Lonchura striata: one gene and its partners. The protein of the gene in region 4 purifies or fractionates together with the protein of the main gene of each other region. This does not show direct contact. Links are inferred from orthologs where the notes say so. Each region holds a gene or a part of one and is shown on either strand. Other genes may lie near its edges.

The links.
Region 1: the proteins of CTNNB1 (region 4) and HDAC7 purify together in Homo sapiens (affinity purification with western blotting; 5 studies listed by BioGRID, with this or other methods). This does not show direct contact. The link is inferred for Lonchura striata from reciprocal best matches to the Homo sapiens genes CTNNB1 and HDAC7.
Region 2: the proteins of CTNNB1 (region 4) and SMARCA5 purify together in Homo sapiens (affinity purification with mass spectrometry, with the first as the bait; 3 studies listed by BioGRID). This does not show direct contact. The link is inferred for Lonchura striata from reciprocal best matches to the Homo sapiens genes CTNNB1 and SMARCA5.
Region 3: the proteins of CTNNB1 (region 4) and CTNNA3 purify together in Homo sapiens (affinity purification with mass spectrometry; 4 studies listed by BioGRID and IntAct, counting the BioPlex papers as one, with this or other methods). This does not show direct contact. The link is inferred for Lonchura striata from reciprocal best matches to the Homo sapiens genes CTNNB1 and CTNNA3.

The regions. Positions count from the first base shown.
Region 1 is NC_134629.1:8,687,201-8,694,721, forward strand, and holds the start of HDAC7 (histone deacetylase 7), read right to left. Parts: upstream 3,016-7,521; 5' UTR 2,969-3,015; coding exon 2,825-2,968; intron 1,402-2,824; coding exon 1,311-1,401; intron 281-1,310; coding exon 169-280; intron 75-168; coding exon 1-74. UniProt on the Homo sapiens protein: Responsible for the deacetylation of lysine residues on the N-terminal part of the core histones (H2A, H2B, H3 and H4).
Region 2 is NC_134606.1:64,813,229-64,820,385, forward strand, and holds the start of SMARCA5 (SWI/SNF-related matrix-associated actin-dependent regulator of chromatin subfamily A member 5), read right to left. Parts: upstream 3,005-7,157; 5' UTR 2,906-3,004; coding exon 2,771-2,905; intron 486-2,770; coding exon 411-485; intron 1-410. UniProt on the Homo sapiens protein: ATPase that possesses intrinsic ATP-dependent nucleosome-remodeling activity.
Region 3 is NC_134609.1:35,368,603-35,376,585, reverse strand, and holds the start of CTNNA3 (catenin alpha-3), read right to left. Parts: upstream 3,010-7,983; 5' UTR 2,897-3,009; coding exon 2,872-2,896; intron 1-2,871. UniProt on the Homo sapiens protein: May be involved in formation of stretch-resistant cell-cell adhesion complexes.
Region 4 is NC_134603.1:112,026,331-112,034,283, reverse strand, and holds the start of CTNNB1 (catenin beta-1), read right to left. Parts: upstream 3,011-7,953; 5' UTR 2,892-3,010; intron 1-2,891. UniProt on the Homo sapiens protein: Key downstream component of the canonical Wnt signaling pathway.

The DNA of each region.
Region 1 (7,521 bases), on a different chromosome or scaffold from region 4:
TGCTGGGCACGGGGGACAGGAACGTGCTGAGCATGGCAGGGGAGGGACCCTCGGGCTCCAGAGGCTCCAGGGACCTGCGGGGAGAAGCCGGAGCCCCTTCCCAGCTGTCCCTGAGCAGGTTTGGGCAGGGGCGGGTCCCTGTGGGGGCCGAGGGTGCCGATGCTTTACCTGTAGGGCAGGGCTGCAGCGGGGGCGTTGCTGGTCCTCTCCAGAGCCGCCTGCTGCTTCTTCAGGATGACCTCGGCCAACTTCTGCTTCACCACCGTGCTGGCCACGGCACCTGCAGGGTGACCATGGTGAGCGACCACGGGGACCCCAGGGGGCTCAGAGCCCTTCTGAAGGGTCCCCGCGGGCAGGATCCCGACCCCGGGAGTGCCACCAGGATGGTTGGAGACCCCCGAGAGGCGCAGCTGGCTCTGCTCCCATCCCGACCCCTTCTGTCTGCGCCAGCAGGAAGCTCCACGGATCTGTGCCAGCATTCGGCACCTCCGAGCACGAGTTCATTAACTAAGTTATAATTAATTAGGTGCGATGCGGAGCCCTGAGCATCCCGAAATTGGGAGCGAGCCCCTGGCAGCTCCTCCAGCGCCGGCACCAGAGGGCGCCGAGAGACCGCGGCTGGGAGGGGGCCGCACCCCAGCCCGGGGGGCTGCAAACCCAGTTTGGGGGGCTGAAATCCCAGTCTGGGGGGCTGAAAACCCAGCCCGGGGGTCCCAGAGGGGTCTGTTACCTGAACGGGGTCCATAACCCGCCCGGGGGGCTGCAAACCCAGTCTGGGGGTCTAAAAACGCAGCCCGGGGGTCCCACTAGGGTCTGGCGGATGAGTGGGGGTTGCAACCCCAGTCTGAGGGGCACCAAACCCAGCCCAGGGGTCTGAAAACCCAGCCCAGGGGTCCCACTGGGGTCTGTCACCTGAATGGGGTCCATAACCCAGCCTGGGGGTCCCAGCAGGGTCCATAACCCAGCCCGGGGGTCCCAGAGGGGTCTGTCACCTGAATGGGGTCCATAACCCAGCCCGGGGGTCCCAGGGGGTCCATAACCCAGCCCGGGGATCCCAGAGGGGTCTGTCACCTGAATGGGGTCCATAACCCAGCCCGGGGGTCCCAGGGGGTCCATAACCCAGCCCGGGGGTCCCAGCGGGGTCCGTACCCCAGCCCGGGGACCCAGCGGGGTCTGCAGCCCCGCTCTGCGGATGCTCTCCCACCCGTTTCAACCCCGGGAAGGCAGAGGCGGGTCTGGGTAAGGGCAGAGCCCCCCGAGCCCCCTCCCCAAAGCCCCTCTGGTGCCCGCCGGGCGCAGGCAGCCCTTACTGCGCTTGCTCTTGTCCTTGTTGAGGATCTGCCGCAGCTCCTGCTCCTGCTGGCCCGGCTCAGCCTCGCGGTGCGGGGACTCCATGGCCACCTGTGGGACAGGGACACCGGGACATGGGCAGGGACCCCAGCCCCACCTGAGCCCTCTGACCCCCAGGCAGGGGGACACGGGGCACAGAGCTCGCCTGGGACAGTCCCCGGTGTCACCCCGGCTGATGGGAACCCGTGAAATTGCTCCATCACAACAAACCGGACGCGTTTCGGTCTCCAGGGATGCTTTGCTCTCCCCGGGGACATCATAAAAGTCAAAACCTGTCTGTTCCTACTCGCTGCCTCCTCTCAGGGTGTTTGGACACGTCTGGGTGTTGCAACGCGGCAAAAAATAAAAATCTTTGTTGAGTACAAAAGGAAAAAAAGATCCATGATCGGAAATCCCAGCTGATCCACGGAACTGGCTCCTGCCCCGAGCCCAGAGCAGCCCTGGGGACAGGCAGGGGGATCTCGGTGCCTGAAGATGGTCACACATCCCTGGACATGGTCACAACTGCCTGGATGTGGTCACAACTCCCTGGACACGATGACAACTCTCTGAGCATGGTCACACCTCCCTGGGCATGGTCACACCTCCCTGGACAGGGTCACACCTGCCTGGACGTGGTCACACCTCCCTGGACACAATCACAGCTCCCTGGACATGATCACACATCCCTGGACAGGATCACACCTCCCAGGATGTGATCACACCTCCCTGGACGTGGTCACAACTCCCTGGACACAATTGCAACTCCCTGGATGTGGTCACACCTCACTGGGCATGGTCACATCCCCCTGGACACGATGACAACTCTCTGGACATGGTCACATTTCCCTGAACATGGTCACAGCTCCCTGGACGTGGTCACAGCTCCCTGGACGTGTCCTCCCACCTGCCTCCCTCTGAAGCCTCCCGGAGGAGCCATCCCCGGGACTGGAGGAGCCATCCCCACCAAATCCCGCTGGTTTCTTGTGCCAATGGAACCTGGCAGTGCCCCTGCGTGGGGCAGGAGCTGCGGGTGGCACCAGAGCTCGGTGACACTTCCCAAAAAACCACTTGCCGAGCAGGGGCAGCTCCCGGCCCGCAGGGATCCCCTGCAGCTGCTCTGGCTCCTGCTCTGCCCGTGCTGGACACGCCGGGAGGCTCCAGCTCTGGAATTTGGCCTGGAATTGAGACACAACCCCTCCACCTGCCTCCCCGAGCAGCCTCCTTGCGTCACAGAGGTCCCTGGGCTGGCTGGAAACCCCTCCAGATGTTCCAGCTCAGGGAAGATCAGGAATTCACCTGGGAATGTCATTTTGGCATTGGGATTTCCAGCCTTTTCCTCTGAATCCCTGCCCAGAGAGGGGAACTCAAAGCCAGCCCCGATTCTGCCAGCGCTGTTGCGCTCTGGGGGCAAAATTCACCTTCCAAAGTGCCCGATCCTGCCCCAAACCCTGCCAAAAATGGGGTGTGGGCCCCCCCATGCCCTGCCCCATACCCTGACGTGCTGGTGGGTGAGCTGCTCCACTTGCTGCTGGTGCAGGCTGGCCAGGAAGAGCTGGTGCTGCAGCTGCTGCTGCTTCAGGGCCAGCAGCGCCGAGTCCTGGGGCTTGACCACGCGCTGCCCGATCCGCAGGTCCATGGGCACGGCCTGGGGCACCCGCGGGGAGGTGCACGGGCTCACGGCAGCTGCGGGGACACAAAGGGACACAGCTCGGACGCGGCAGCTGGGGCAGGAGATTCCTGGAAATGCCACTGCTCTGCAGAGGCTCCTGGGGGCTGCAGGCGCCTCTGCCCGGCGCCGCGGTGGAGAAGGGCTCTGAAGATGCTCCCTGCACAACCTCCCTGAGGGGTGAAACCCCAGCGCCGTGGGGACACCAAACCAGTGCCAGTTACACACCAGAAATTATACATAACACACCCAAAACATGCCAGTTACACACCAGAAATTATACATAACCCACCCAAAACATGCCAGTTACACACCAGAAATTATATATAACACACCCAAACCAGTGCCAGTTACACACCTGAAATTGTCCATTACACATCTGAAATTATCAATTACACATCCAAAACAGTGCCAGTTACACTGAAATTGTCCATTACACATCTGAAATTATCAATTACACACCCAAACCAGTGCCAGTTACACACCAGAAATTATACATAACACACCCAAACCAGTGCCAGTTACACACCAGAAATTGTCCATTACACATCTGAAATTATCAATTACACATCCAAAACAGTGCCAGTTACAGACCAGAAATTATACATAGCACACCCAAACCAGTGCCAGTTACACACCAGAAATTATACATAACACACCCAAAACATGCCGGTTACACACCAGAAATTATACATAACACACCCAAACCAGTGCCAGTTACACACCTGAAATTATACATAGCACACCCAAACCAGTGCCAGTTACACACCTGAAATTGTCCATTACACATCTGAAATTATCAATTACACATCCAAACCAGTGCCAGTTACACACCAGAAATTATACAAAAACCCCTATCCAAAACATGCCGGTTACACACCTGAAATGATACATTACACACTTGAAATTATCAATTACACGCCCAAACCAGCCCCAGTTACACACCTGAAATCGTCCCTTACACCCCCAAAACCGCTCCATTTTTTCACTGATCATGGAGCACCCACTGCCGCAGAGGATTTCCCCCTCACAGAAACACCCTCGACCTCAGGCCATGAAAAACCCCACCAGGAAACCTCACCCCACTCTCCATCTCCTGATAACGGCCTGGCACTTCATTAGTGGCCAGTTAATTGGCTCTAATTGCACCCCGGGACAGGGAGGCTGATGGAGATCAGCAACCCTAGCCTTGGGAAGGTGCCCCTGCCTCGGGGCTCCCCAAAACCGGGCTGAGCATCCGCGATTTTGGAGGATGCAGTGACAAGTGGGGTTGTCCCCTCCTTCTTGTCTTCTCCTTCTTTTCCCCTCGTTTTTGTCCCCTCCTGCCTGTCCCCTGCTGTCCCCTCCTGGCTGTCCCCTCCTGTCCCGTCCTGCCATCTTTCCCTCCATCTTTCTTGTCCCGTCCTTCTTGTCTTCTCCTTCTTTTCCCCTCGTTTTTGTCCCCTCCTGCCTGTCCCCTGCTGTCCCCTGCTGTCCCCTGCTGACCCCTCCTGCCATCTTTCCCTCCATCTTTCTTGTCCCCTCCTTCTTTTCCCCTCGTTTTTGTCCCCCCCTGCCTGTCCCCTCCAGCCTGACCCCTCCTGGTTGTTCTCTCCTGTCTGCTCCGGCCTGTCCACTGATGTCCCCTGGTGTCCCCTGGTGTCCCCTCCTGTCCCCTCCTGTCCCCCCCGTCCCCTGGTGTCCCCTCCTGTCCCCTCCTGTCCCTCCTGTCCCCCGGTGTCCCCTCCTGTCCCCTCCTGTCCCCCCCTGTCCCCTGGTGTTCCCTCCTGTCCCCTGGTGTCCCCCGGTGTCCCCTCCTGTCCCCTCCTGTCCCTCCTGTCCCCCGGTGTCCCCTCCTGTCCCCTGCTGTCCCCTCCTGTCCCCTCCTGTCCCCCGGTGTCCCCTCCTGTCCCCTGGTGTCCCCTGGTGTCCCCTCCTGTCCCCTCCTGTCCCCTGGTGTCCCCTGGTGTCCCCTCCTGTCCCCTCCTGTCCCCTCCTGTCCCCTGGTGTCCCCTCCTGTCCCTCCTGTCCCCCGCTGTCCCCCGCTGTCCCCCGCTGTCCCCTCGCCGCTCAGGACGCGGGAGCAGGGCTGGCAGCGGCGGTGGCACACGGGCTGCTGGCAGGGGGACAAGGACAGGCTGGCACTGCCACATCCCGGGATGGCAGCCGGGCCCCGGGACGCCGCCGGTGTGCGGGAACTCGGCCGTGCCCGTCCATGTCACCGCACGAGGGGTGTGCGACAGCCGGGACGCTGCCGGGGGCTGTGTTCGGGATCATCACTCCAGTGGGAACGGGGTACCGGGGGAAGGAGCAGCCCAGCCAGGCACGGCTGGTGGCACCCCAAGAGTTGTCCCAGCCTTTCTCTGCTCCCTAAAAATGCCCACGGGAAGATCCGGGGTTTGGCGTGAGCTGCCCATGGTGGCCCAGCACAGCCTCATGATGCCCCTTCCCGGGAAAAATGGGGTGGGAAGGGATTGGGGGGAAATGGGGTGGGAAGAGATTGGGGGGAAAATGGGGTGGGAAGGGATTGGGGAGGAAAAATGGGGTGGGAAGAGATTGGGGGGAAAATGGGGTGGGAAGAGATTGGGGGGGGAAATGGGGTGGGAAGAGATTGGGGGGAAATGGGGTGGGAAGGGACTGGGGAGGAAAAATGGGGTGGAAGGGATTGGGGGGAAAATGGGGTGGGAAGGGACTGGGAGGAAAAATGGGGTGGGAAGGGATTGGGGAGGAAAAATGCAGTGGAAGGGATTGGAGGAAAAATGGGGTGGGAAGGGATTGGGGGGAAAATGGGGTGGGAAGGGATTGGGGGAAAAAAAGGGATGGGAAGGTTTGGGGAGGAAAACTGGGGTGGGAAGGGATTGGAGGGAAAAAAAAGAGTGGAAAGGGGTGGTGGGGGAAAGGAGTGGGAAGCGATTGGGGCACCCCAGGTGAAGGAGGGGCTGCTCCAGACACCTCCAGGAGGGAGCAGAGCCGAGGGGAAGCTCTGGTGGGGGCTCTGGGAATCTCTCTCTGCATCATTTGTTTCAATCCCTGTAAAAACAAACTGCGAGGCGGCGGAAGCGGAGCAGGGAGGGATGGGGGCTGCTGGGGGAGAGGGAGGCCGGGCAGCAGCCAGAAAAACAAAACAACTCCTCACCACTCGCCTGGAGCCAGGAAAATGCTGTCGAGCATCCCCAGGGCCAAGAGGCTCTGGAGCCAGGGAAGAAGAGGCTGCGTGGAGCCCGCTCCTGCCGCGGCCCCCAGCTCTGCCCACCCCGCGCTGGGGATGCCCGAGTGGATTTTCAGAGGCTGGGATGAGAAGAGGCGCCCTGGGAGCAGGACCTGGCCTGGCGTGCCCCGGGGTGACACTGGCGTCCCAGCCCCGGTGCTCGCGGCCAGGATGAGGCCACCAAACTCGGGGCGGTTTTGCAGAGCTGGGAAACAAAACGTCCCGTGCTGGGTGCCAGGGCGGCGCGGGACCAGGGCTGGTGGCACTGGGAGACAAACCCGGGCTCTGGCCAAGAGCCACTGTCCCCATGCGGGGACCCTCGGGGGTGAGGGCCCTGCACATGGCACCTCCTCAGGGATGCTCCCCAGCCCTGAGCTCCGGACCCCCCGGCAAAGCCCCTCCTGCCCCGGGAGCTGCTTGTGACCTCCCTGTGCAGCTTGAATTCATTTGGGGTTTGCTGCCGGGCCCTGGGCCAGGAGTTACAGTAAACAACCCCCTCCCGCATGATCCAGGGGCCGGCGGCCAAGCCCGCGCCTCCTCCCCTTCCCCCCGCCCCAAAAAAGCCAAAAGTGAAGTGCCAGCGCGGCTCCTGGGGGTTTGTCCCTGTCCCCAACCCAGCCTGGCTCCTGCTGCTGCCCAGTGGACCCTCAGGAGCTGGGACTGGGAGGCACAATTTGGGACTGGGATGCAGAGTTTGGGACTGGGAGGCACAATTTGGGACTGGGATGCAGAGTTTGGGATCAGGATCACAGTTTGAGACCAGGATCACAGTCTGGGACTGGGATGCACGGACTGGGACCGGGATCACAGTCTGGGACTGGGACCACAGTCTGGGACTGGGATCACAGTTTGGGACTGGAATCATAGTTTAGGACCAGGATCACAGTTTGGGACTGGAATCACAGTTTAGGACCGGGATCACAGTCTGGGACTGGAATCACAGTTTAGGACCAGGATCACAGTTTGGGACCGGGATCACAGTTTAGGACCAGGATCACAGTCTGGGACCGGGATCACAGTTTAGGACCAGGATCACAGTTTGGGACCGGAATCACAGATTAGGACCGGGATCACAGTTTGGGACCGGAATCACAGATTAGGACCGGGATCACAGTTTGGGACCGGGATCGCAGTTTAGGACCAGGATCACAGTTTGGGACTGGAATCACAGATTAGGACCGGGATCACAGTCTGGGACCGCAGTTTGGGACTGGGACAGCCGCGGGGCCAGGAGCCCATCGCACAAACCATCCCTGTGCCGGCAGCTGCAGACCCAGCCCGTGGATCCTCCGTGGGAAGGGCAGGTTGTGACTCGGAGCCTCCCCGCGGGCCCTGG
Region 2 (7,157 bases), on a different chromosome or scaffold from region 4:
ATGAAAAAATAAAAAAGAAGGAAAATAACAAATTTTCTCCTTTCTAACCTGTGAAGCACAAAACCAGCATCCATCTTCAAAAATCTGAGGACTCTAATTAAAGCTTCATAAAGAGATTCCTAGACAATCTTTCCAGTTCTGACCGAGAAGCTGAATGCTCAACTCTTTATAATCCCCCTTGCCTAGAGGATGAACTGCTCTACAGGTAACTTTAAAATCCTGGAAAGGAGAATGGTCCCAGAAGTGTTCTTCTGAATATTTTTTGTTTCAAGTTACTTAAATATTTTTTAATACCCAGACAAATCTTTATAAATCTGTTTAAGATATTTCAAACAAGCAAACAGAAAACTCAAATCTATTTTAAATAAGTGCATAAGTACTAAATGTACACAGTGCCAAATATTACATACCATTTTCTCTTCATATGTAGGATCTGTTTCCTGGATTTCTTTTTGCTTTGCCAGAGACGTATCATCAAAAGGCTCCTGAGATGAAAAAGAATTAAGAAGAAATATTTCTGAAAAAGAGAAGATACCCATCTAAAGGAGAACAAGCTCGTTTCACATTGTATCAAAGCAGCAAAAGTTGGTCGTAGCACCTGATGTGGATAGACAGTAGTCAGTTCTCTATTATTACCTATACAATTACCTGGAGATGAATCGGAGATCCCTGCCACAGGGTGAGGGACAGAGCTGAGTCTCTGTAATCTGATTTAGCTCCATCATTAAAGCATCACATCAATGTGAATGAGGGAGACAGCTGTGGTCCAGGAGATCAGCATGCCAGTTCTAGGGTTGTGAGCCAACCCCCCTGAAGCTGGCTCTGAGACGGACTGTGAAAGCACCAGCTCTAGGCCTGAAGCAATTTCAAGGTTTTTGCCAGATTACCCCAATCCCTCATCACTGTGTATTAAAAAAACAAATCTAAACAAGAATCCACACTGCACTTTTGTCCTGAAAGCTGAGGAGGAGTTTAGGAAACTGTATTTTTTTTTTCCTACATAGTTTACTAAATTAAATAATGTTTATCACCCATGGTACTACTAACAACAGAAGGACCAGCTGGCTAGGAGAGGGCAGTCTTCCCTCATGCCCTTCCTGCCAAATTCTTAACATACTGCCTTAAATTACTCTTCTGGATCAGGGCTTTTTCATCCTTGTCTTTTCTGTCATTAGGTTAACTCTTTGCATATTGTCTCCCCATATGCATTTTCATCTCCTGTTAAAACTAAAAGCAGTGAGATGATCCTTCCCTGATAAACAATGCTAAGGTAACACATAACAAAATAACTGTTGAAAGATTGAGAAAATGAAACAAATGAGATGCCGTCAAGTGTTTTTACTGTTTATTTGAGTTTAGTAAGTATGGGGCTAAATTAAATCTTTATCGGCCAATACAGAACAAAGGAACAGGAGAAGAAACAAATGAAACAAAGGCTGGCAAGAAACAGGATATTCGTCAGTGGGTATTTCCTCACAAGCCTCTAGCAGGTGAGGCATGTGGAAACAGAAAAATCCTAACACAAATGTTTAATTCACTAGACAGAATATAAAGAATTGAGTGTAAGAAGTCATGGCTAAAGCTCTTCTGAAATCATAACTAAATCCTCTTACTCATCCCTCACTGGACTGAGCCAACACCCAAGTAAGCACAAGCAGAGGACCGTTGGAACTTCTGTTCGCAATTCCCCTTTCTGCCACAATGCCTAACCTGGAAAGCACAGCAGCAGAGCGGCACGGCCATCCGAGCTCATCATCTGCTGCACAGATGACAGAACCCTGCAGCTGAGCTGGAGACCAGGGAAAACAGTCCTTCAGATGCTCACGGCTCCAAGGCATTCCAACTCAAACTTCACTGTACGCCAGGAAATCCCTTCCCAAGGTAAAAAAAGGAAAGGAATTGGCAGCACAGAGAGCCCTCGCACACGGGCGCCACAAGAGCACGCGTTTCTCAGCCTGCACACGCTAAACTCCAGCCTGGAAGTGCCCTATTTCTGCAGGTTCGAGCAAGATTAATTTCCCACAGTGCTTTGGCTACTTGTTCATCCGAAAAACATGGCATTTGCAATGTAATTTAGCACAAGTAGGTTGAACAGCCCAGCGTGACTCAGAGTACAAAATACCCAGCGCTGAAAGCAGGACCGACCAGTTTCCTGCTATCATTAAAGAAACAATGCCGCGATAGAATTAGCATCTCCAGGCAATCACTTCCAACCCCCTGAAATTTCTGGAATATATGCACCTATTGCCAAAACAACCCCTCTCACAACCCTCGCACCTCTTTTCTCAAAAGAAAAAAAAAGGAAAAAAAAAATAGAAAAAAGTTTTGAAGCACTTCAGCAGACAAACATCGCTCATGCGTTTTAGACACCGGGCTGGCTGGCGGCTGGAGCAGGAAGCGCAAAGGCTGGGCAGGGTTTCGGGGAAGCAGGAGCAGACAGAAAGCCTGGGGGTGCGCGGGGGGCTCCCGCCGCCCCGTTTGGAAAACAAGTGGCGTGCCTCGGCCGCAGTGCCTTCTTCCGCGCGTCCCAGCGGCAGGACGAGCGCGACCCCTCCGCGGCGGGGAGGGGGCGAGAAGGACGGGACACCGCAGACATCGCACGGCGCCGGGCCACGCTCACGGCGGGAGGGCGGCGGGACCGAGCGCGGCCCGGCCTTGCCCGGTGCGGCCCCGCGGCCGCTCCTCCATTGTCTCCCGCGGCCCCACGCGGCCCGGGTGTCCCACCTGCCGCCGGGGGAGCGGGGGGACCCCGCCGGCCGAACCGACTCACCTCCATCTTCGCGTCGCCCCCGGCCAGGCCGGCGGCGCAGGGCGGCCCCGTCCCCGCGGCCTCGCCGGTGTTGGCACCCGGCGGCAGCGGCGGCGCGGGCGGCTCGTCCGGCCGCGGCGGCTGCCCGGCGGACATGATCCGCGTCGTGAGGAAACGGCGCCTCGCCGAGGCTCGGGCTGGCGTCCGGCGGGCTGCGTGCTGCGGACAGGCGCGGGCGGCAGCCGGGATCTGCCGGCGGCGGCGGCCTGCGGGTGTCGGAGCGCGGCCGGCGGAGGGAGCGAGGCCCGGCCCGGCCCGTCCCGGCGGGAGCCGCCAAGCCGCGCGCGAGTCGCCCCGCGAGCCCGCGCTCGCGAGACTTCCCCCGCGAGCAGCGCGCGCCGCCGCCGGTGGGGGCGCTGCGGCGCGCGCCGGCCCCGCCGAGCTCGGCGGCGCTCGGTGCGACCGCGGCGTCCCCGCCTCCCTGCGATGCACAGCCGTACGGGAAACCTGAGTTCAAATCGCGGCTGGCATCGCGTTTCACGCCCTGTGTACGATCACAGCGTATTCCGAGTTGGAAGGGACCCGCGAGGATCGCCGAGTCCGCCTCCTGGCCCTGCACAGGCCATGCCCGAGGGTCACACTGTGCCCCAGCGTGGTCCGGATGCTTCTTGAGCTCGTGCTGTGACCACTTTCCTGGGGAGCCTGTTCCAGCGCAGGCCCAGCCTCTGGGGGTAGGATTTTTTTCCTGACATCCAACCTAAACTTCCCCAACAAAACTTCAGGGCGTTCCCTGGGGGATCCTCTCGCTGTCACCACAGAGAAGAGCTCAGTGCTTATCCCTCCTCTTCCCTTCAATCTCCAACTGCAATGGGGTCTCCCCTCAGTCTGCTACAGGCTGAACTGACCTCAATTGCTCCACACGTGGCTTCGCCTCAAGGCCCTTCACCATCTTCACAGCCCTCCAGGAAAGGCTCAGGAATCACCTGAGGAGGTGAAGCCATGCTCTGGCTGGAGCCCAGCAGCAGCCCCGCACCCCGTGCGGGAGCGGCAGGGAGCGTGGTTAAAGCAGGTGACAGCAGTGTGCTATACCGTAAGTTACTCAAGAGGCAGCTTCAGGTTGCTCTATGGGCTCCTCATCTCTCCATGAGCTCTGGGTAGAGGGACTTGAACATTCACAGAAAGGGTGTCACACAGAGCCACCCTCCAAAGTCCCCTGCTCTCGCTTGCTCAGGTTGAGCCAGGCCAAGTTTGTAGGCACAGAAGTACACTTTTGTAACCTAAATACAACCACAGTGTCTGCTCCCAGCTTGAAGCATCGTGGGCTGCAGCCCCCTGCTTTAGGATGTAATTGAGCAGATCTACACCTGCAATGCCTCACAGATAACCTGCCAGGTGCCACCTACCAGAGCATGCATCCCAGAACCCTGGAGTGCACGGAATAGGATGAAACTGAACAGGAAAAGCTGCTTAAGAGCACTACTATTGCACTCAAGGTGCTAACAGAGGCTGTCCAAAGGGCCAGACCTGAGCTAGTTAGAAGCAAAACTCCCCTGACTGGTTCACAATGTGGACAGTCATGTTCTCCACATTATCCAAATTGCTCTATACATCTGCAGATTTGTCACACCAGTAGGTATTCCGGCAATATTCACAAGAGTTGTCAGTGTAGATGCAGCCACTGAGTGCACTCCATAGGTTTGTGGAGCTGCATCTTCCATCTTCTGAGAAACCATTGTAGCCTGGAATGTAGCAGCAAAACAGACCATCTTCATGATGATTATTACAACCTTCATTCCATTGTCTTTTATTACAGGCATCCTTTAATATTTTTTGAAGTTAAAATTATTAGCTTTGACATTTCCAAAAGACGGTGTCACTTTTTTTCTGCTAGAACTGCTCAGAAGAATAAATTCCCAGAAAATATCAATTTTCCTAGAATAGGATTTCTCAGCTAATCACAAATTTACTGACATATTTTTCCAACTCCTCGTTGTCCTCTCTTATCACAGATGAAAACTCTGTCCCTGAGCTTCGCTAAATGCTTTTCATTCAGGTACACAGTTTGAACTTTAAAAATACATGTGGCAGCAAATTACAAATTAAAATAACTGTGTTATTTTAGCCAGCTCTATTCTTCCAGCGTAGTTTTGTGTCTACTTGCTGTGCCTCAGCTCCTGCCCCTCTCCCAGAGCTGCTCCAGATAATGCAGTGCTCTCTGTGTAGTGAGGAGTGTAAGTCATGGTGGGAAGGGAGCTACATTCCCCCTTTCCCATTTTTCATCTTTTGCCTCCCCTGCAAAGCACACAAACAAAACCACACATGGAGAATCACTGGTGAAGGAAAATGGGGTAGAAGGCCCTTGGGAAGAAGTCAGGTGTTTGGGAAGAGTGGCGAGGATATTTCAACACCTTTGACACCATCTTTTAGACTAAAACTGATAGGTAGGATCTGGTTTGATGGGGAAGGTAGAAAAGCACAACTCCATCCAAATCTCATTGATCCTTGGCCATCTAGCAAAATAAAACAGCACCATGCCAGGGTGTGGGGGTGTTGAGATATTTGTGTTATTGGTATCAGAAAAGGTGAATGTTCAGCTCTACTTCAACAGGCAAAATAATTGAAAAAAAAAAAAAGAATCTTGCCAAAAGTTAAAAGACAAAAGGCTCTAATTTTTTTTTTTTTGAATTTTCTGAAGTCCTGAAAGTAGCACAGAAGACTATGCAAAAAACCTCCAGAAAACCAAAACTGAAACAAAACCCCACCCAACAACAACAACCAAACCACCCCCCTCCAAAGAAACACCCCAACGAAAGCAGGAAAGAGGACTTTCCAAGTTAACATGAAAAAGTTCACAAACACACAAAACCATAACAGTCCATACAGAGTCCAGATGTGAAGACCTTAAATTGAAAGCAACCAATGGCATAAAGAAATTCATAACAGAAGTTACTGAACCTACTGAACACCTACATAATGGTCAAATGCACAGTAAAGGAAGATATCCCCTCTCAGCCATTACCCAACAGTAGAGACAACTAATTACTAACATGCTTATGAAGTTAGTAAACAACAGTTTAATAACAGATTTTTGTCAAATCTCTCAGGTGACACATCTTTCAATTTTGTTGCTTAGTTGTGCAATCTAATTTTAATTAATGTTCTTTAGATGGCTCCTTGTTAAACAAGAAATTGAAACACCACAAGTAAAAGTAACTCTGATACTATTAGCTGTGCAGCAAGTATGCTAATAGGCATTGCTGAACATGTATCAAAACTGTAAAACTTCCCAAAATTTGGGAAACGGAAGGAGTGAAACAGAGTTGTTTGTAGTTGCTCCATGATATGCTCATTTGGGTTCAAGAAGGTAAGAGAGGGGTAAGAACTTGGTTTGTGTTCAGATCTTAGGTGGGGGATTGTAATTTTTTTTTAGTTTACAGAGCCAAAGCAAGATACTACCCACGTGAGATGAGATACTGCCAGTTCTACTTCCTCACAAGGCTGATGTTGAGCTGGACTATCCCATCAAGAGTAAATACAATTAGACTTATTTCAAAGCCATCACTTCTGTCACTGTCACTTTTCTTCTAGCCTCAGATTAACAGTGCTGCAGGCAAGAGGTGGTGTACACACACACACACGATCAACAGTCAAAGAAGTCATCAAAATAATGCTATATCTATTTCAAAAAACCCAAAAACCACCCCCAAAATAAAACAAAAACCCCAAAACACTCTGCCTATCAGCAAAGGTCACTGTCATCAGCTTTATCGTAACTGTCAACACATTGATTTACAGTATTAAAAAAATCCATCCCCACAAAAAAAAAAAACCTCAACATATGCAAACAATACCATATATTAATTTCAGTAGATTTCTTAATGCAATGGAAACTTTTTAGAGTTTAACATATGTAGGTGTATACATTTCATCCTTGTGCTTTTTAAATTTTGAGTGCCATGAAGATGACATTGAGATTGTTCAAATTTTAGTGTAGCCATCCTGGTAAAATTAAACTTTCACAGAAAAGAAACAGCCCAGACTTCATCTGACGTGCTTAAGCAAACTGTAAGCCTGTCGTGTGTCTACCTTCAAAAAGTAGACTGCAAATATAGTGACATGTGAAGACCAAAAGTTTTTAAAATTGTGTCCAACCACAAATGAGAGAATATTTGGTAACAGCAACATGGCATGCAGATAGCATATCAGACTCTGCTTGTGCCTAGTTTAAAACAATCCCTTTGATCAGTAAATTTTACCCATGCAAAAAAAGATGACCCCATATGGAGTCAAATGCTGATACTCATTACAGAAATCCTCGAAGAATGGAGATTCTGTAACAAGCAGCACCCTCACAGAAAAAAACCCCAGAACTAATAAAATGCTTTTAGATTTTATTTCTTTGCTGCTA
Region 3 (7,983 bases), on a different chromosome or scaffold from region 4:
ATGACTCAGGCCATTAGCCTGAAATGTGTGTGTGTGTCAACAAAGAATTATAACTGCTTTAGCTGGATTGCAACCGATTATTGTCCCAAAATAAAAGACACTTTAAATTTCACAGTACCTTACCTTCTTATAAAATACAGCTTGGCAAAGCCTTTTTAGCCAATAATGACTTCAAATACACAAATAACGGTTATCTGTCCTTTTTAAGCAAAACTCATTACAACCACTGCTGCTGTACAATGTAGTAATTCGGTACTGCAATTGTGCAGGCTGAAGAGATATAGTGTCACCTTCCAGTGAACCTGGCACTGATTTAATAAAACACAGTAGGTTTAGGGTTCCTATAGCAAGGGGTGTAGATATTAATCTGGAGGGTTATTCACATTTCACTTACAAGCAAAGATAATATGAGCAATAAAAGAATTAAGGTATAAAGCAATTTAGGGTTTTGCCATTCTTATTAAAGGTTACCCAAGCGCCAAGTTTATCTTTAACTACAAACTATACTAATGGCAGAGCTAAGTTCCAAAAAAATTCAGCTGCATCCAGCCAGGAGGTAGCATTTGGAAAGAACTGATTTTTCAGTTTTAATTCTGAGCCAAAAGACAAAGAAACCTGAGATCAGACCGACCAGAAAAAAACACTTTTCCTTCCACAGATATGAATGGAAAGAGAACTCTGGAAATGTCAAAGCAAATTATCTGCCCATATTTTACATATTTAACATTTAGATACTTTCAAGAAACACCAAGGAAACAAACTCTGAGACCCCTAAATCTTTCTGTCCGATACTAACAAGTAGCTTTGAACGCCACTAATGTCTGTCATCCCTGCACTTGCAGCGAGCTCCAGGTCCCCAGGGGAGGCCTCTGAACACACGGCACAGCAGCTCCTGAGCCCTTTCCTTGTGTTCACCCCTCCTTCAAAAAGCATTTAAATTCAACAAGATACTGTCCCCCAGTTTCACTGGGATTGCGTCAAACCGCATCATTACACACGCTGGAAAAGACAGATCCTTTTCTGCCACCTGTAATTCACTGGTTTTCTAAATCTCTGGCCAATATTTCAATGAATCTGCTTTTTATTCACACTAGGAAAAATAATAAATCTTTATGATGGTGCTGGGTACCAACCCTTATCTTTGATATTTTCACAAGTCTCCCAAACTATGGGCACTTCTTGAAATCCATCATAACAGTCGCAAACAGATGGTATTGACTGTGCTGTGCATTTTTTTCTGGTCAGACATACATCAGTTACAAGGGGACAGGTAAACGGGATGGGAACTGTACTTCATGCTCCTGCTGAGCCCTAAAGAAACCACGAGGTGAATCGGGTTGTTTTTCTGCAGATACACTTACGCTTTAAACCTTGATAAATTCCTTGATAAAGGGCCTCAGCACCTGCTTTACTCAAAATGGAGAAATTAAGCCTTTTTGCTGCTTGCTCTCCATTCTCACAGCACAATCTCCTCTGCTACATGCTATCTGCAATCATCAGATCTTTTTCTAAATTTTAGCAGATAAATATGTCGTTGTAATTAAATTAAAAGTAATAAATTCCTGTTACTATAGGACCACCGTGCTCCAGAATCCCACCACAGATTGGAGCACTCTCAAACTTGGAAAGTATTACAAATCCAACCCCATTTTTGCAGGTCAGAAAAAATGTGAATCCATGTGTCATGACTTTCCCTATTCTGGGTTGTTCTGTGGCTTTTGCTTGTTTGTTTGTTTCTTACCCTTAGCATACTGTCTAACATCAGCATTTTTATTCTTTGCTTGAGCCCTGAGTTCAAAAGCCAGTTAAGGCAATAATAGCTTTTAGCCTTGAGTCAGGCCATAACGAGTCATCAACTGAAAGTCAATTGCAAAAACTATTGTCTCTGAAAATTTCAATTATATTTTAAGCTATAAATAGCTCACTTAAGGGTTCACTTGCTGATTCCAGCAATATTTTTTAAGTAAAATTCTAATGCTTCCTGAAACCTCCTTTTGTTTCTAAAAAGATGGAAACAGTTTTGCAAGCCAATGCAGCAAAAACCACAAGATCTTAAATCATTTTGATAATCTGACTGCATATTTTTAGCTTACCAGGCTCTCTTTATTGTTATATACCATACTGGCTAAATCAATATTTAAATTGGACTCTTTAGTTATTTCTTTTTAATTAAGGCAAGGATAAGAGGCGATAGGAAGAAAATACAGTCAGTAAAGATCATCCTGGGATTTTCTCTGGCATTTCCACTTACTAACTGAACTTCTGTCCTTCCGCATCATATTCATTAAGATGACAAATCTGATGTTTGCCTCAGGAAAAATATTAAAATCAACATTCCACCTTCCTTTTTTTTTTTTTTAACTGTATTTGTCTACTCCAGTATAACATCCCCCTAACTACAGCAGGGGCCCTAACTGCGAGATGTTTTGGTAAAAGGCTGTATAACCTCACACTCAGTTAGATTAACCTTTACAGAAGGCAATCTCAGCCCTGTACACCAGCAGCTCTTACAACACTTAGGATGTTAAGCATGTGTTACAAGATATAGCTGTGTCCCAGAACAGCCAGAAAACCAACCATCTGCACACTCCTACCAAATGCTCCCCACCTCAAGATAATACAAAACTATTGAGTCTTTTGGTGTAATAAGAAAAAGACACTGGAAAACCAGCCGAAGCCTATATCCATCTGCAATGCAACGTGAACGTAGCACCTGCAGCTTTTTTTTTAGAATCTGTAAGTACACTGTATACAGACATTAACTAATAAGTGTCAGAAAGCAGAGCCAAAGACATTCTGCATAAATTAGAAAACCTTTACTTTAGAATCCATCTCCTGCCAGATTGTTAGAAAGCCAACAGCGTCACTCACCTATGCTAGAAAACATATGGTCCATATGCAGCACTAAAGCAAGTGCCTATGAAATTTCCTTGGGTTAGGAACTTCAGTGCAACTGCCCTGGCTCGCTATGGGGCTCCTGAGGCATCTGCAAGGGACAGCCTGACAAGCTCCCAGTGTATTTCAGGATGACTGACAGCACACAGCGGCGGCTGGAGGGCTGGCAGGGGGATGGGCATCCTTAAAGCTGTATTGGAGAGCATAAGCACGGCAAAAAAGTTTAGAGCTGAGAAGGTTTTGAACAATTAGAGGACACGAAGCATTAAATTACTTATACTTCCTGTGATAATTCTTGTAATTTCCAGCACAGCAACTGTTTTGCCATACATTCTGACTGTATGCCAACTTCAGTCTGGAGGCAGTGACTCACTCTCAGACTCCTGAGCTGGACAGCAAAGGGATTCATAAAGCTCTTGCACAGAACTTGGCACCAAAATTGTTTTCTCTGTTGTTTTTTTACTATTGTATGGTACCCTGCAATGACACACAATATATTATCCTAGCAGTTTCAGAAAATGCAAAGGCCTATTGCCTTCTAAAAAATGAAGAAATGTTTAAACAAAGTAGTCAGGATCTGTATTTTTTACCAAGATACATATGGACAGGGCACCTGAGGATTTCCAAGATACGAAACATTTCTGAGAATACATAACAGATTTTTTTTACTATTTGTTCTTAATTTCAGTATTTCCTCTACAGCTTCATTAATTGTTACCAACAGCACTCTGATAATATAACTTGTTAGCCTTTTTGCTACAGTCAGTACAGAGAGTGCAAATCAGACTTCATAAAGCCACAAAAAACAATTACCACATTTTGCTTTAATGCTAGCTGACACATGAAATAAGACATTCAGGATGCTAAAAGCTTGTAGTTCAGGCAAAGAAAAGTGCACACTGTTTTACTGCAGAGTACTTGTACTCTGTAGGCCAGACCATGCTCTGGAATGGAGCAGTATTCCAAAGGACCTGGCCCATTTAACACCAGGTAAAGTCTATAAAGCACCTGGTAAATTACTTAAATTTCCAAACAAAGCTGTCAGGCTGCTCTATAACCATCTCAGAATTCATCATTTCTTACCACTAGCAACAAGACACGTGTCTATTAATGCACAGACACCACAAGTAGAGCAGGAGACGGTGGCAAGATTCAGACCCATTAATAACATTAATTCACATAAAGCTACTTTATTTAAACAGGCTTTGCATTTAGGTGTAGGCTAGCAATGAAGTAACTGGAAGATTTTTTTTAATCGCAGCCCCAAAAATTAAAACCAAAAAAACATAGCACTTTTTTTTCGTATTTCCTTTCAATTCTGCCTGTGTTTACCATCTCCCAAGAGCACTTTTTCAATCCACATCTGATGAGCAGTTAAAATTCACAAGAATATAAGACTTCCACCAAGTTCTTCAACACAGTTCTCAACATAAATAATGTGATATATCATACCTTACAATCAATCTACCAAGAAAACAGTGTAAGCCTAGTTCTTTATGGGTGTTGGAGAATCCCCATGGCAAGCAATGGTTCATGACTGACCTAGTAGTGACATTAAAAGGTTTAATTAAGGTTTATGAAAAAAAAAACCAAAAACTTTTGAGGTGGGATAAAGCATTGCACCTCAACAAACTTGTCTCGTGAAAACTTTCTTATAGCTAGTGAGATAAAAATTTCAGATTTTTTCCCAGATTTATAACACTCAGAACGAGCTCTCTTTTCCTTGTTTAGTACTCATGTTTTCTTTTCCTACAGTGCTTTCTATTTCAAGCACTGTTTCAAGCAGAGGTTGTGTTCCAGTATCACAGAAGGAAACAGAATCACAGAGGAAAAATTATTTACTCAAGATGAGAGAGAATGCCAGTGGCAGAGTACTGGAATAAAACCATAACAACACTGAAGTACCTTACCCACACTTTCTTTAATCAAGGCCAAAAAGCAGGCTGAGGAGAGTAAAACACTTTCAGAAACAATTCACACCATAACTCTATAGAACATCATCTCTATTCTTACTCCTATGTTCAGGTTACCCTGATATTAGTATTGCTCATCCTAGTAAGGCCAGAAACCATCTGCCTTAAACATCCTATCAGAACCCCTCCACTGGTGAATGCACACACTTCAGCCAGCTGCAACACCAACTAATTCCAGGAGATGTTCCAGCAGAAGTGTGAATCCTACAGCCTGAGCAGTTCCACAGCCTTTGGCTTTGTACTGGCACTCAGGACTGCTTCTCAAACAACAGCTATCCAAAAAATGTGCTACTGCCTTAAACCTACAGCCACTGCAAGAAACATCTTCCCAGTGAAGTATAACATGGAAACTTGGGAACCTGACAGTATCTCACTACCAGAAAAATAAAATAATTTCACTCAACAGTGGAGTTCTACTGGATATGCACAACTGTGAGTGACAGCAGAATTAAAATAATACTGCTTAGGCTAGATATACTTTAATGTTTGTAACATTTCTTCCATGTACATTTTGGCAGGTACCGCAGTTTTTCATCTGAAAACTAGAGTTCTAATATTTAAGAAACTGAAAAAGCACTTACTTTAAAAAAAAAAAAAATAACACACAAAAAAGTGGTGTGACATCAGATGGCAGCATTTCATTTTTTAAAATAATCATTACTATTTTTTGGATCTATTTTAAATTCTTAAATGAAACCCCAAAATCCTTCCACATGAGTCTCAGTGCTATTTTCACTGCGTGCAGTTTGAGCCCAGAACAAGGACTGCTCTCCATTTAAGTGGCACACAGTTCTTACATGGATGGCTATCTGAGCCCCTAACGATAGGTTAAGGAGGTCTGGCTCCAAGCCTTCTCTTTTGTTATCACATTTAACGTGCTCCTATCTGTGTTCAGAACCAGAGACCCCGTTCAAATAAAGTTCAAGTTGACCTTCCACTAAAAATAGGATGTTGTTCAACTCATTAAAATAATAGACAATAATAGAAATTCCATGAGGTGCTACTAAAAGGTTTCAAATTTTATTTACTTTAAATACAGCTCCCCATTTCCCCTTATTGCTATTTGCTGACAGTTATCTATTACAGCATTACACTCTGCTGTTTCGTTTTAAATATGTGTCTCAACTCTCAACTGCAAAGAGGTAAAAAACCAGGGTTTCTTCTCTTTGTAGAGCTGCTTCTGATTTTGCCAACAGATTTGGCTGTTTCCTACCCATGGCCTACCCCAGGATGCTTCACCATCACATACCATTTCATTGAGGGTCTGCATTAATTGTTTTGTCCAGTGATCTAAATAGTGTTTTAGCATTCTAGAAGTTTTCTTCTTCCCCACTGCTTACAGACACGCTCAAAACAACCCCAAAATTAAGAGTAGCAATGGTGACGGTGACTGACACTTATATATATAAAACATATTGACTCTGAGATATGCATGAAAATAAGAGAGAAATGACTCTTAGAAAGTGCCTCACTTTGAATGCTGGCAAGCAGCTTCCTTAGCACATACAACAGCACAATCTAATGAAAAGGGACAGAAAATAGTACTTAAGTAAAGCCACAATCCCTCCACACCATGCCTGCAAACATGGACAGACCTCAATATGCAGATTTACTCTTCCAGTGGGGTTCCCATTGCTGCACAGCACCCTATTTCCTTTATCAATTCTTCCAACTGGTTTCAAATCACACCAGGGCTCAGCAGAAAACCCCTACAAAGCTGTTAAAGCACTTCTGGTGAAACAGCTTCAGAAATAAAGCCTAAGGACGTTCCAGCCCATTCTGACCTCTGCCCACAGTTCAACTCAAAACCATCTGGCTGAAGAGCAGCCATAAAGAGAAAAAAAAAAACCAAACTTTGTTCCAAGGTGAATTAATTTCCCAACACTGATCAAAGTAGGAGAAAACAGTAAGAATTCATTATGGTTTCCTCCTAAATGCCTGTCACATAGCCTAATTCTTTGTTGTTGGGTATCTCTGGGGCTTCACTAGGTCTGAACCTAACAGAAAGGTGCACACATAAGGGTCTTGAAATATGCACAATGTTACACTGAATGTAACAGCCCTCCTGTAGCCCTCTCTTATAATATTTTTTGTAATATTTTGGAATTTTTTTAAAATTACATTAAATTGTGCAGTAACTTATTATTTTCACACTGAGGTGCGATAAACATACATTTACACAAACCTTCCTTCAATTAAGTGCAACTTCCAGCAAAGTATCAGGAGGTAAACTAAATTTTTTAAACTAATAGCATCCATACAACATCTTATTCTTCCTTTTCCAATATTCCAAAGTGGCTTCTCATATCTGGAAAATATGCAAACACACTGCAGAACTTCAGCTACTAGCCTGAAGTGATAAGACCATGACAATTAAAATATTTAGAATATTCAGGATTTTTTTTAATATTCAGATTTTTTTAATCATGTTTAAAAGTTCTTTTTTTTTTTTTTTTTTTTTGGAAAGCTGGCTAAGAAAGCCAGCGTTTTAACTTTTTTAAACTTTTGGAGTGATTGTTTTATCAAGCAGCAACAGTTCCATTTATAGCTTCATGTACTTCCACCACTAAGAGGAAAATTGCCTACATTCTTCTCCAATCTTACCTTTTGAATCAAGACTCCAAGGAAAGGAGCTCCTAGGAATGGCTCTGTGAAGAACTCCACCTGAGGCAGCTGGACTCCAGGGGCAGCGAGGCTGCGAATGTGCCAGTCAGACCCAGCTGTAAGAAACAAAATGTGAGGGCAGCACTCCACTGGGACTCCTCCCAAAGCAGTAGCGCCGAGCTCAGTGGCAGCTTGCTACTGAAAATACCCCTTAGAGCCACCCAAGCTCATGCCTAGCCTTGCAAGCCAGGTTTGACACAGGAACCCAAATCGGACACCAGGGAAGGCAATGGCAAAGCCATTCAGGCTGAACACGAGAAGGGAAAGGGGAAGAAGGAAAGCAAAAGCCACTGCTGTAAATCCACACTCAAATATAGATGCAATGCACATCTCCCTCATTCACCTTCACAAAACATTCAAAACACACTTCCAGATTGATAATCCCTCATTTGTAAGATTTTCCACCAAAGCGGCCATTTAAAAAATGGATATGAGTTAAGTTTTGCTAATC
Region 4 (7,953 bases):
AGTCTAGCCAATTCAATTGGTGCTTAACTGGAAAATCAGAAATATTGCCCTTTCAGGAAAATAATTTTATATAAAGAAACAAGAAGAATTACACACAATACTTACTGCCAAGGAGTTTACCATTTCTGGGTTCCCACCCAGTCAGCCAGCAAAGCACTGGGCTCAGAATTTGCAGGTGCATGTTCTGAGGACACAGAAGCAAGACACAGCTGCCTGCAGTTTCTCACAGGTTTTACCAGGCTTTGTCAAGTAAGATGTTCAAGATAGGTAAGGTCAGTCCCGATTTTCCTGCCATGGTATGCAGGCTACCACAGTCACAGAACAAGTTTTGCTGCAGGCAACTGCATGATCACCACAACCCCAGCATTACCAGTTTAACTTTGAATTAAGGTAAGTGATTTTGATTACCGATGTATTTGCACACCAGTCTGCCTACTAGACAATACTCTACAGAAACATCCTTATCCAAGAGTTTCAGACAGCACACTCAGACTTCAATTTCTGAGACAGAAGCCTCCAGCAGCCATATTTCCTGCTCTATTCTTTCCACTTCCCTTTCCACTCCTGAAAACACTGCAAAATCAGAACACCACTAGTATTAACCTCTTGCCTTAACATCCCCAAAAACTCAGAACTCTTCAGAACATGGTATTTCAGGATGCTAATCCAGATGTAGAGTCACTACAGATGGACAGATGTTTCAGAAAAAAATAATTTCGTCTGAAGGGCAACCAGGTTTCACAGCCAAGGTTTGGTAAGCTACTTACTGACACATCACAGTCAGAGCAAAATGCTGGTGTCCAGAGTAGACATACACCATGCAAAGAGCCCATTCTATTTATAGCTTAGGCAAGAAAAACGAAGCTTGGTTTGATAAGGCTGTAACACAGAATTTGAAGAACTGATTTTTCCAATCAAGCTTTACTTTGCATTAAATCCTTGCTCCTGGAAGCTATCGTGCATGGCATTGTCCTTTCCAACATGGTGTTTGTACTTGTCTCCTAGACTTTGTGGAAATGATCAGCCATACAGACCAAACATTCCCCTGGATATCAGTTTACACCTAAATAGAAAATATCTGAACTAACAGACAAACAAATATGACATTTATTTAGAACAGCCTCAGAACAATGAGACATTCAGTATAATTTTGAACTGAACAGTTGAATTTAGAGAGCCTCAAACTCTTGCCTGAATACCTAAGCAGCCTCATTTGCAACAGTACCAGCCATTAGACAACGACACAGCAGTCACATACCTGCAGCTGTCAGCACCTTTTTATCAAAAGTGCAAGATCAACATTAGGTTCCTGGACTGTTACGTATTGAAATTCACATTATAACTTGGGCCAATACACACCACTAAGTTTTGCCGCTTAGACTTTTTTCTTGGAGCCTCGCAGCAGTATCTTTTTCTCATTTAGAATCAAAATCATAACTAGGAAGTTGCTGACTGGTGTGTCCGAACTTAGATCAAGAAAACCCTGACACTCTTGCAACTAATTTTCTCGTCTTTGCTTTACTGTAGTCTCAGTACATAAAGATCCTGTTTTACTAAAACCCCTCCTTGATTTCCGTCCGTCGACCTCAGCATACCAGCCCAGCCTCTTTCCATTCACCACTTGCATACTTTGGGGGATGGGAGGACCACAGATGTCTGGAATATACAGAGTGTCAGAACAATGGCTGCTCCATGAGAAAGAGATCAAGAAGTAGCTGATTACAAAGATCAACACTGCTATTCCTAAAGTCACAAGTAAGTTGCTCGTGGTACCTTCACACAGTCTGTCCTTTCTTTCCAGTTAGGATAATTTTCAGAGGTTTTTGGAAAGAGACACAAAAAGAAACGACCCAACATCCTACATCGAGTTTTAACTAGGGAAAAATGTAAGGTTTTGCTACATTTAAGAAAACTTGCTGCTCTAGGAGCAGCTAATCATGCACAAAAGAGACGAACTAAGCTTTGTTAAAAAAAAAAAAAGAACAAACACCAAAAAACAAACTAAACCAACAACAAACCACAACACCCCAGGAGACCCTGTTCCTAGAGAAAGAAGCGCCCTAGACAATTCTGGGAGTAACCGCGAGTTGATCTCCACAGCTCGGGAGCGCGGTACTTCGGGAAGCTGGAGCCGCCGTGGTCCCCCAGCCGGCCACGGGAAGCAGCGGGCGCTTCCCCTCGCAGCGTGGGAGCCCCAACACCGCCCGCAGCCCAGGTCGTTCCCTGCAATACCCTGGTAAGGTGGGTGTTAAAAAACTTAATTTGATTGCTCCCAGCTCCGGGAAAGCTTCATTTCGGTGACACCCAGAAGCAGCAGCACAGCCTCTCCGGCAAATATGCAACGCCACTAAAAGCGAAACCCCACAAGGCAACAGATTAGTTATCTCCCGCTGACTGCAGTGACCGTGATTAATTATATTCCGTACAAATAAACCCGTACCCTGCTCTCTTCCCCCTCCTATCGCCAAAGGGGATCTGATACCCAACAGCGAGTTAGTAGTCCCCTAAAAAGGGAGGGGGAAGAACCTCTAAAATAATAATAAAAAAGGGCCATTAAAGTACTCCGGACGCTGCTGCAGCCGAGAGCAGAGGCGGGCGCATGGGCTCGCCTTCTCCCGCCCGGAGCAGCCACCCCCTCGCCCCAGGACGAGCTTCCCAAGAGACTCCTCGGGAGCCGCAGCTGCCGCTCCTGCAGCCACGCAGCTGTCCGGACCTCCCAAAAACAAGAGCCCTCTCTCTCTTCCTTTCCTGCCCCCCCACCTCTCTCCCACCCCCGCTCCCCCCTCCCCCAGCCCCGTCCTTCCCGCTGGGCACTCCCTGGACCCCCTGACGGCCACGGGGGTGCCCGGCCCGGGTTTGCCCGAGTTCCCGCCGGAGAAAGCGGCACTAACGTCGGAGGAAGGGAGAGCTCAGGGTCCCTCCAGGCTCCGGCGGCGGCGGCGGCTGCTGCTGCTGCCCGGGCGATCCTGGTCCGGTCCGTCTTTCCTTCCTCGTCCCCCGCCTCCTCCTCGCTCACGGCGGTGCCCCCGCCGCTGGCTCCGGGTGGCGACCGTACGGGGCGGCGGTGTTCGTGTCCCCCGAGCGCCGCCGCCGCTGCTCCCAGCGCCGAACCGAGCGAGAGGCTTAAAATGGCGTCGCGCACAAGGAGGTTCTTATAGCGAGCGGCGGGCCCGGCTGTGTATCCTGCCGCCGCGGCCGGGCCCCGCGCGCGGCATTCCATAGGCGCCCGGCGCTCAGGGCAGGCAGAGGGAGGAGGAGAAATAGTGCCCGGCTCCCAGGGCGGAGGGAGACAGGGAGCGGGGAAGCGGCGGAATGGGGGAAGGCCGGGCCAGGCGGCGCTGGGCAGGGCTGGGCAGGGCTGGCCGGGGCAGGGGGAGCGCGGCGGAGACACCTTATTCCGGAGGTGGGAAAGAAGGATCCTAGTTCCCGGCTTGGGAACGAAGTTGCTGCTGCCCTGAGGGGTGTGGAGGCGGCGGGGGAGGGGATACGACTGCGGGGATCAACCCGGGGTCCTGCTTTGGGAAGGGGAGCGGTGGGGGTGGGGGGCAAAAGGCGCGTGTCACTCCCTCTCTCCTACTCCTTTCCAAACCCCCCGTTTAATCTGGAGTTTCGTTGCCTGGGGTTTTAATTTTTTTTTTTCTTTTTTTCTTTTTTTTTTTTTTTTTTTTTTTTTAAGTGCACGGCACCAACTGTAGCGAAACTCCGTCTTCCCAGACGCCCGCGCCGCCACGTCCGGGGGATCTCGGGCTGCCGCGGGAAGTCGGCCCCGGCTGGGACGGGGCGGCCGCCGAGCCCGGCCCGCGGCTCGGCCCGGCAAGGCGGCGGAAACGCGCTCCCGCTCTGCCCTTGTAAATATTTGTCAGGAAGCAGTTGCCAAAGAAAGTATCTCGTTATGCAATTTTTTTTTTTTTTTTTTAAGGGAGAAGCGAACTTCCCTTCTTCACCCCCCTCCACACACACACACCTCCTCCTCCCAGCCCTCCCCTCGCTCCTTTAGCGATTCGTAAAAAACAGGAAAATACGAATTGCACAAGGTTTTTTCGCGGCGTGTGAAGGCACGTCCGCGGCGGCCTCTTCTCGGCGTGATCGGGCTTGCACAGCAGAATGTTTTACAGACTTTTTGCGTGCATCGTCTTGCAGTGGCAAAGTCTGTGTTTAACATACCAGGAGGGAAAAATACATTCACACCTCTCTCCACATGAAACAAGGACCGAATATACAACGTGGTTATGGGAAACATCCATTGCCAGAGCCAAAGATGTATATTATTTTGTTCCCCCCGCAGAATAAATTTGCTTTGGCACGGGCTGATGTGGGAGATTGAATTCTTTTTTTCCTTCTTCCAGTCTCGTCCCCCACCAGCCCCCAGTTTGTGCAGTTTTTGCAGCAGGGAGATGCGCGGTTCACATGGGGACTACCTTTATGCTTGTTTTTTCCCACTGATAATCCAGTTTTAAACAGGCTCTTAAGTTTCTAGTTAGAAAGTTGCAATTAAAGATTTGGTTTTTTTCCCCCATTGATTTATTCAGTCAGATGTAGAGTTACTCTAAGGGAACCTCTTTCACAGTGCTGCTTGATTTTCACATAAGCTGCTTTCTTTTGAATTTGGAGCTTTTTAAAACAGGGTATTTATCCTGGGCTGGAGGTTTGTTGGCAGGATAATGTAAGGCTTGCTGCATACAAGAGACAAGGTGGAACTGGCATGGGTGACAAGGGGGCCACATCCAGTGAGGCAAGTGCCGGAGAAGTGTTCCAAGGGTGGGTTAGCTGTTACTACTCCTATGGCATTGGAAAGGCAGTGGTGATAAAAAAAATCCTATTTTCCTCCCATTACCCCTGCCACTGCAAGGCATAGCAATCATTCACCCACCAGCCTCCCTCTGCTATGGGCAACCTTTAGTGCCCACTAGTAAGGAAAAGAAATGCTACTTGGACAACCCTGAAGTTGGAGAATTGAGAAATGCAGCTTTCCTGTTTTCTCCTGGGACAGTTGCCCGTTCTGACAATACTGGTCAAAAGAGGGGCAAGAATGAGGGTGACTGTTGGCAAGAGCTGGCAAAGAAAATTCTGCCAGATCAGGCCAGTGGACCGTGAGTGTTCATCATCTTCCTGGGGAGTTATTTGGTGCAGCTATGAGCAGAAGGACCTTGTTCTTGACACCAGAATTTTTATCCCAATTTAAGATAAGAGCCAGAGAAAGTATTATTGAAGATTGTCAAGCAATAAAAAAAGAGAAAAGGGTGTGGAGGGAAGAGTTAATTTCTTTATCCACCTTCCTTTCTCAGCTGCCTTCTTCTACAACCTTCAGAAAATCTGCTCTGCCTCGGTTTCACCCTCTGTAAAACGGGAATAGTAATACTGACAAACCCCTCCTTTTAGATCCCTGGATCAAAGGTACTATATAAGTTCAAAGTGCTGTTTCTATAGGGCATTATTGCCAAATTCGCTATAAGCAATTCCATTGGGTACTTGATAACAACAGTAGAATCAGTCAAATGCCCTTGATGTATTGCATGGTCCCAGATACCTTTCAGAGGCTCTTTGTGTGCCATCCCACCCCCCGAGGTCTGCAGGGATGGGGCTTTTGGAGCCTGGATTTTGCAGGAGCAGGAAGGGTGCAGTCCATGTCTCTGCTTCTGGCCCCTGAACTGTGGACCGCTTTTCTTTTTGACCTGACGAGGACAACTGGAACTAGACCTTTTAAAAACAGGTTTAAAACATACAACTTATATATATATATTTAAATAATATATTGGCCTTTAGTACCTAATGATTAACTCTTGTTGATTTTTGGATGCTTTACTTCTGCATGGGTTGTAATTTTAATCTCTATTTGTTTCGCTGCAAAGTGGTTAGGATACTTTTGCATCTAGTCACATTGCTTATAGAAATTTGGTTCATATCAGCTTTGCAACTTTTAGCTATTAGGTAGCTAAACATTTTCTAAAATTGTACCTTTAAAAAATTCCCAAACCCCTACTTCAGAGAAACAATCTTAATAGCCGAATTGAAATTACAATTAACTTGTCGCTGTTCTCTCAATTATAAAAATGTTTCTAAAATACATTTTATATTCCTAATTTTTCTAAAATGCAGTGTGTAAAGTTCCACTATCAAAACAAGAACAGTAAATGTTATATGGAATATTACAGTACAGGGCTCCATCAGTAAATTCACAAACGGTCCAGTTATTCTTCCTCTTCTACTTTTTTTTCCTTTCTTCCCCAAGAAGCACTGAGTGTGTCTGTGCAGCTTCAGAAGTTTCCTCTGAGCTCTTTTATACTTTAATAGGTTTGTTTTGGTGGCAGTTTACTAGAAGAGTATGCTGCAGACATATTTTTTTTTAAGAGGTCAAGCAGTCTCCTAACATGTCCATTGTGTATCCTTGCAGTAAGAAATCCTCAGTGCAAAGGAGAGCTTCATGGTTGAATTTTAAAAGATAATGATTTAAATCTTTTTGTTAACTTTTTTTTCATCCTTAGCACTGCTTTTGTAGACTCCACTTTTAGTACAGTAAAAAGTAGGAAGCCCCTTAATTAAAATAAGAAACAGTTAAATGTAAACTTAGATGGTCACCTTTCCTTCTAAAATCCTGGTGTTTAACTTTGTTTATAAGGAACATAGTAACAAATGAGTAGCCATGGTACTAATATGAGGACAAAGCAAAATTACCAATTACAGAAATATCTAGGGCTCTGGGCCTGAATCTGTGATTTCCCATATGGATCTTAAAAATGTATGCATAATTGGCTTCTAACTGTGCATGCTCTAGGAACATATTCAAGAATCAACTACAGATATTTTTTTTCAGACACTGACTAAATATATATTCACTTGTCAGCAAAAAGATACATAATTCTGATCCTCTTAACCAGAAAGAAAAAAATAAAAGGAGTCTTCTTCCAGCAAAGTAAGGTTGTAGTGTATTAAAAAAGTCACATAGTCTCACTTTCATACAGGAGCGAAGGGGAAAAGAGAGGGAGATGCTTGTGATATTTAAGCACTCTTAGAGACACAGGACTAATCAATGTAACTTCTGCTTCATATTTGAGACCTACATTTTATTAATACACGTCAAGGTCTTTGCTAAAGTAAATAGCTATGCCATTCAGGCTCAGTTTCAGTGGGAAAAAGTTGTTGTTTATCAACAAAGAAAAATAGAATTATTGAAAATAGAAAAAATGGTGAGATTTTACTTTTCTCAAAAATTATTAAAAAAAAAAAAAGTGCATGTGTAGGTGATTTTGAAGGAAAGAAAGACCCTACAAATTAGTAATAAATTAGTACAGAAGATAGTGATCAAAAATCTTGTTACCTCATTCAAATGACATAAATTGAAGTTTTCTATAAATGTTGCTGCAGGCATCAGAAATAGAATTGTCATTGGTCACTAATTTGATTTTTAAACAAAAGTTGTTCTTTCCCTTCCTGTTCATTTTGACTAAATGCAACATGCCTTAAAACTTTCTTATTTAATTCAGTATACATGAATTCCTACAACAATTTATTTATTAGGTATGTGTCAGAAACTAAGATTAAGTCTCCAGCTGATTTAGTAGCTGAGGCATTACTCATCAGAATATGTGATTACTGGCAAATTAAGCAATGGAACATTAAATATGAAGCATTGCATTTCTCAGTGCGTATATTTTAATTACTACTAGCCAAACAAATATCAAGATGGCTTTATATTCAAAATTTAATGCATGATCATGTGAGCAAAAAATCCACAATACTGATCAAAACATTGTCATCACCGCATCTGTGGCAGCGCCTAAGTTTTCCTTTAAAATTTTTGTTTGTCTGTCTCTTCATAGTTATGGGTCTCACACTCCTTATTTAAAACAATTGCAATGGTTGTGTTGAGGTGCCCTGACAGAAAAGACATCCAAAATCACAGGAAAAAACAATACCAGTTGCAGAGGTGTGACACCGACCTCCTTCTTCCCTAAT